2 linked regions of the Canis lupus familiaris genome follow. Each later gene encodes a partner of the first gene's protein in a complex. Links are inferred from orthologs where the notes say so. Each region holds a gene or a part of one and is shown in the gene's direction. Other genes may lie near its edges.

Region 1 (3,830 bases):
ATTGGAATTAGTGTAGTCCGATTTATGCGGCCTAAGACCACAGCTACTATTGGTCACGTACATTCTTAGATTCCTAGTGCCTAGCACATGGTCAGCATCAACAAGTATTTTTAGAGTTAACGAATGGCCTAGAATCCCAGATAATCAGGTACATGGCTAGAAATGTTCTTTGACTTTCTCAGGTTGCTGTAGTTCTCTGCTATTTTCTTTCCACCACTATATGCGTTTATCCAACATTTACTTGATTGGTAGGTTTGAGGATTGCTTAAATATACCAGGTAGGCAATGCTTATTATAGCTAATGAAGTATATGTTTTACAAATTCAGATATTACTTTAGTATTTGGCTCAATGACAGTGACTAAATATCAGTATTTATAAATGTGGCCAATTGAAATATTATAATTTCGGATAAAATTATAAAACTGGCAAAAGTAAAAATTATTTTCTGGTCCATTCTAGGAAACGGTTTACACATGTCTTTCAATAAGTGTGGACTCAAGTTTCTTTTAGTCATTTCTTCTTAATAAAAGAGATAGTCTAAAAAAGTGAAAGAAAAGAAATAGTCTTCGAAGTTTCATTACTAGCTATTATTTTTCAGCTTCTGGGGTTCCCCCCCATTTGTTTTCCTGATGTACATTTCTGTACAAGATTAAGGTGTACAGCATGATGGTTTAATTTAGTATTGTGAAATGATTACCACTGTAGGTTTAGTTAAGATCTATCACTGTAGCTACAGTATATAATACAAAATTCCACTTTACTGTTATTTTAAAAATCTCAAGCCCTTTTAAATTATTTTATGAGGCTGGGAGGCTTAATAGCTGCTAAGAATTTGCCAAGCATATACCCTCATCTTGAGTTTTTTTAATATAATTTTTTAAATTAGAAAAGGTCTCAACTAGAGATCATATCAATGATGTTCAATAAAAGGGCTTACCAGAAACAATATGTGAAAGGAATTCAAAATAAGAATTTATATACTGTAAACACAGGCTTTTAAACTAGTTCTATTCATAGAATGCTTTATAAAACTTCTGCTTGAAATTTGGTTTCTCCGATAGCTTACCTACTGTTGCCAATCTTTTCTGTGTAACACTCTTTGGTTTCTTCCTAGGGAACAATATTGTTCATGACCATTGCTAAATCATTTCTCAATGAAAGGGAAGAGAGAAAAGGTACTACTTTACTTATTTATACCTTTGCCAACCTTTCATAATCCAATTCAGAATCCAGTGTGACATAAATGTGGAAAAGAAACAAAGTCCAATGAGGTTAAAAATCTTAACCTGCTACTTCTTTTAATGACAATAGATGAGATGTTATTTAAAAATAGGTTGGAGGCTGCATGATGCAGTGGGAGAAACAGTTTAAGTCAGACACATGCGTGTAGATCACCGCTACTCTACTGGTTGGCAAGTTACTGAGGCTCTTCTGTAAAACACAAATAACTAACATTGCATGGTTGTCCTAAAGACAAAGTGCCCAGAATTTGGGAGGTGGTAAATAAATAGGAGGAATTATAAAAGAATTTTTCAGAAGGCTTAAAACTCTTCAGAATTTCACAGTGGTATTTTGATGGAGCAGATTCCTTGCTCCTGTATCACCTGTTTTGGTGCAGCAACAGGAGGAATTCATTTAAAATGTGAGTAGCAGTGTGTCATTCCTCTGATCAAATCACCCCTCAAAGAGTCCACTTCATTGAGTAGAAGCCCAAGTCACAACAATGGCTAGCAAAACCCTGGGATACCTTGTCCTCAGTTTCCTCTCTAAATTTGTCTACTTCTCCTCTACTATAATATTGGTTTCCAGTTAAAAGACTTTTTTCTTGCTTCAAAACTTGATTAGAGTACATTTCATGTAAGAATGTTCTCTGATTGTGGGACGTGATTTCATTAATTGAGTTATTTTTCTCAAGCACTTGATTTTATATCTGAAGCACTTGATTTTAATATTCTTCAGAGAAAGGCTGACTTCTGTTTGCTGCCACATTGGTTTCATATATTAGTATTCCTTTGTATAGTTAATGAAAAGTGGTGGTAAATTTTGTCCAGTTTAAGCAGTTTACTAATTCATTTTCAGTGAGAAAAGATGAGCAAGGATTTGATATTACACTATTTTGTGGTATCAGTTAGTGGTTTCACTTATTCTTTCTTTTTCTTGATATATCACCGTTTTTGTTCTGTGAAATCATTTGAGTCACACACACACTTCTTTAAGGTACCATCATTGGTAGATATTAATAATTATATATTTTCCAAATTAAAATAAAATATTTTTCTCTGAAAAAAAAAGATTGAAAGGAAGTGATTTATAGAATGTATAAGGGCTTTATAAGAAACTCTCAAATGACTTTGGCATACAGTTTCATTTCCTCAATTGCAGAAATAAAAGGGGTTAATTTTATAATAACACCTCCTTCTTAGGGCTATGATTTTATGAAAGGGAATTTAATGAGAGGCTCTTTCTTTTTTCTCTTCCTTTTAGAGTAAGCCATATAAGAAGAAATGAGCCTTTCATTCTGTGGTAACAACATTTCTTCATATGATATCTTTGATGGTGTGTTACAAAATCCCTGCTTTGTGGATGCCCTCAACCTGGTCCCTCATGTCTTCCTGTTGTTTATTACTTTTCCAATATTGTTTATTGGTAAGTAATCTATTCTCCTATATATCCTCACCTAATATTTCTTTTAATATTCTTATTAAAAGAATAGTTCCTTTAATATTCTTATTATTTCTTAAGAAATAATGTTCTTTTACCAATTACATGAAAACTGATATGTAAATCTGTGAGAAAAGAACAAGCCAGTTTTCTGTGCTTCTCAATTATTTATGTTCTTGGCATATGACATTCTGTAGATAAAATAGAAGTCATATGTCTTCTTAGAAGTGGACTCCAAGTAGCAGCAGCAGTTTTTTGGAAGGAGGGAAAGAGAGTTATGTGGGATAGACTGAAGTCTTTGTTGAGATTGCTTTGTGTTAGTGAAGAGAATGAAAAATGAGTAAAACACAGTATTGCCTGGGATATTCACTGGAACTATCCAGTGAAACAGATGTATCAAACTCAAGAGAAAAATGACTATCCCGCATTGTAAGCTCATTTGCAGGTACATCTTGGGCATTAACTTGCTAGAACAACTAATTCTTCGGGCCAGTGGGAAAGATTGCATGGAAAGTGACATTTTGGGGGAGCTGAGGACATAGAGCGTGCGAGTAGAAGTAGGAGTAGTAAGGGTGCATTCCAGTTTGAAAGAATACTTACGCAAACTATTTGGAAAAGAGCTAAAAAAATACAATTTTCCTTATTATTTTACAGTTTACAAATCCAGTTATTTAGATTATTGATATATAACTTATTAACTTCCCTGAAACAATCAAAATAGACCTCTTAACTTAGAAATTTTTTAAAAATAGAAGTGCCTGGGTGGCTCAGTCGGTTAAACAACTGCCTTTGGCTCAAGTCATGATCTCAGGGTCCTGGAATAGAGTACCTTCTCAGGCTCCCTGCTCAGCAAAGGAGTCTGCTTCTTCCTCTCCCTCTGCTCCTCCTCTTGTTCATGTGTGCATGCTTTCTCTCTCAAATAAATAAAATCTTTAAAAAATTTTAAAAATACGTTTCACATGTGAAAATGACAGACTAATCTAAACATCTATTGAGCCTATCACCACTCATCTTAAGGAATCTAATGGTAAGAATATGAGTGAATCCCTCTGTGTACTATTTCCTGAGCCCGTTACTCTTCCAATATCCTGTTACTATCTCTTCAAAAAAAGGTAACCATCATATGAATTTGGTGTTTAATTTTGCTTATAAAAATAAATTTGCTCA
Region 2 (2,674 bases), about 170 kb from region 1:
TCACAAAATATGCCTATAAATACAAGTATGGGTTTATTATTTTAACTTATTATTTTAATGCTTTCCTATAAGTAGGTCCATCGTTACATGACATAGAAAACAATAGAACCGTTTCCCAGAAGTCTGGAAGTAGACGCATTCCAATGAGAGAGAGATAGAGAGAGAAAGTGCTTGTGTTTAGAATCAGACATTTGACAAGTTAAGTGGCCAAGTCTTTCCAAAAGCATTTAATAGCCTTTGGAGGGAGAAAATGGAAAATTCAGCTTGGCATGTTATTTCATTGTTCAAAATTTGATCTGATGGCACTATTTTTTGATGTCCTTCCTTGCAGATCGTTCACCTCTGCTTTTCTCTTCTCCATTGAAGTTCAAGTGACCATCGGATTTGGAGGGAGAATGATGACAGAGGAATGTCCTCTGGCCATCACAGTTTTGATTCTCCAGAACATTGTGGGTTTGATAATCAATGCAGTCATGTTGGGCTGCATTTTTATGAAAACAGCTCAGGCTCACAGAAGGGCAGAGACCTTGATTTTCAGCCGCCATGCAGTGATTGCTGTCCGAAATGGCAAACTGTGCTTCATGTTCCGTGTGGGGGACCTAAGGAAGAGCATGATCATCAGTGCCTCAGTGCGCATCCAGGTGGTCAAGAAGACAACTACCCCCGAAGGGGAGGTGGTGCCCATTCACCAGCTGGACATTCCTGTTGATAACCCAATTGAGAGTAACAACATTTTTCTGGTGGCCCCTCTGATCATTTGCCATGTGATTGACAAGCGCAGCCCCTTGTACGACATCTCAGCAACTGACCTCGCCAACCAAGACCTAGAGGTCATAGTGATTCTGGAAGGAGTGGTCGAAACTACTGGCATCACCACACAAGCGAGAACCTCCTATATCGCTGAAGAGATCCAATGGGGCCATCGCTTTGTGTCTATTGTAACTGAGGAGGAGGGAGTGTATTCTGTGGATTACTCTAAATTTGGCAACACTGTGAAAGTAGCTGCTCCCAGGTGCAGTGCCCGAGAGCTGGATGAGAAGCCTTCCATCCTGATTCAGACCCTCCAGAAGAGTGAGCTGTCCCATCAAAATTCTCTGAGGAAGCGCAATTCCATGAGGAGAAACAATTCTATGAGGAGAAACAACTCCATCCGAAGGAACAACTCATCCCTCATGGTGCCAAAGGTGCAATTTATGACTCCAGAAGGAAATCAGAACACATCAGAATCATGACAGCAAGACACACCTGGTGGTTTATGCAAAGCACTGTCAGACTGTACTAGAGCGGGAACACAGTAATTTATCCTTCTATCACCAGATGCTCATATTCAAGCAACAGCACTTTCTGTGTCAATAAACAGTAACACACAACATGGAGGATTCATGGCTGACACTTGTTTCATATGTGCAGTATTTGCAGTGATATTCTTCTATTGTGTATAGGAAATAGTATGCTCTTGTTTCTCTCAATTTGAAACCCAAGGATTACAGTAATAGGAATAGACCTTGAGTACAAAAGCTGGCCAAGGAATGACTCTGTGTGAAATGCTTAGTGGTTGAAACCACAGATCTCTCTGTTTCCGTTGGCCCTCTAGAAATGCAGGTAGGATGAGGGGGAACCCTAAAAGTATGCTGTTAACACCTTTTGTATCAGCTAGTATGTAGCCCTCTCTTTTTTTCCAGATACTACATCTGGTAAGAAGCCAGAGGTAAAAACTGCTTATCTCTGGCTGCTTCTAAACAGATTGTGTTCAGTCACTTCTTCACAGTGACCTTTGCAGGTTTCCTCGTCCTCCTAATGGCAGCCTGTTGGCGGAACTGGGCAAAGAGCTTTGGAGAAAGGCTAAGAACATTCCTGTCTCATTTAGGACTGGATTCCCAAAAGTGGCAATTATTTCCTTTGGCTTCTCACTTCTTAAAAGCCCCTACAGGGAAATACTGTATTGAGTATTTTATTAAAATATTTTCTTCGTACTCACTGTAGTTTTGTGATTTCTCTTTCACGAAATTATCCCTATTCAAAGCTCAAGAAAAGAAAAAAAAATTTTAGAGGCATGTGAAAGAGATATACAGTGATAACACCTCTCAGACATTCCTGTCCTTGAAATTGGTTATTCCAAGGGAACTACATTTTTTTTGTTTCATTTTGATTGTATTTCCTTCCAAGATTTGAAATGTTTTCCTAGCTCTTCTATCTGAGCCTGATGTATCATGGAAATCACATAACCTTTTTTCTTTAAATCTCCAACCTCCTATCTTAAAACTATATGCTCTTCCTGAATTCAGGCCTGGCATATATAGCTTTAGCATGATAGCACTTGCTAAAGTGAGATTTTTCTATCAAAACTTGGTTTAATCATCCTTAGCTCTTCTTTCTTCAAAGAAGGGAAGAAGACGCAAAAAGAAGCACTAAGTTGAGAGACTGGGTTTATTCTTCTGTTTCACATAGTTGAACATCAGAAAACTGAGCTCTTATATGGCCTTTTACACAGGTTTGGGGGGTTGTATTCATTTTACTTCATTTATGAACATTTGAAATAGGCAGGTAATCATTAATATATTCAAATCTTATCTTAAACAAATGACTCATGATTCTACCCAGATGAATGGAAATTGTTTCTCGGGTTACTAAGTTAATCATTTCTGAACAATTCTAACCACTCCTTTGAACTCCA

What was found.
Region 2: the proteins of ABCC9 (region 1) and KCNJ8 are in contact, whole or in part, in a cryo-EM structure (PDB 7MIT), measured with the Rattus norvegicus proteins. The link is inferred for Canis lupus familiaris from reciprocal best matches to the Homo sapiens genes ABCC9 and KCNJ8. Residues at the interface, in XP_038963045.1 of Rattus norvegicus: Phe5, Ile10, Tyr13, Asn14, Ile15, Val19, Asn22, Cys24, Phe25, Ala28, Leu29, Val32, Val35, Phe36, Phe39, Phe42, Pro43, Ile44, Phe46, Ile47, Gly48, Trp49, Gly50, Ser51, Lys55, Gln57, Ile58, Asn129, Phe130, Lys132; in NP_058795.3 of Rattus norvegicus: Met1, Leu2, Lys5, Ile7, Ile8, Pro9, Glu11, Tyr12, Val13, Leu14, Ala15, Arg16, Ile17, Ala19, Glu20, Asn21, Leu22, Leu45, Ala46, His47, Lys48, Asn49, Gly54, Arg55, Phe56, Leu57, Asp59, Ile60, Thr62, Thr63.

Annotation. Positions count from the first base shown.
Region 1 is NC_049248.1:21,322,875-21,326,704, reverse strand, and holds part of ABCC9 (ATP-binding cassette sub-family C member 9), read left to right. Parts: intron 1-1,116; exon of another isoform or gene 1,117-1,177; intron 1,178-2,486; 5' UTR 2,487-2,506; coding exon 2,507-2,648; intron 2,649-3,830. UniProt on the Homo sapiens protein: Subunit of ATP-sensitive potassium channels (KATP). Can form cardiac and smooth muscle-type KATP channels with KCNJ11. KCNJ11 forms the channel pore while ABCC9 is required for activation and regulation.
Region 2 is NC_049248.1:21,155,146-21,157,819, reverse strand, and holds the end of KCNJ8 (ATP-sensitive inward rectifier potassium channel 8), read left to right. Parts: intron 1-331; coding exon 332-1,232; 3' UTR 1,233-1,973; downstream 1,974-2,674. UniProt on the Homo sapiens protein: Inward rectifier potassium channels are characterized by a greater tendency to allow potassium to flow into the cell rather than out of it.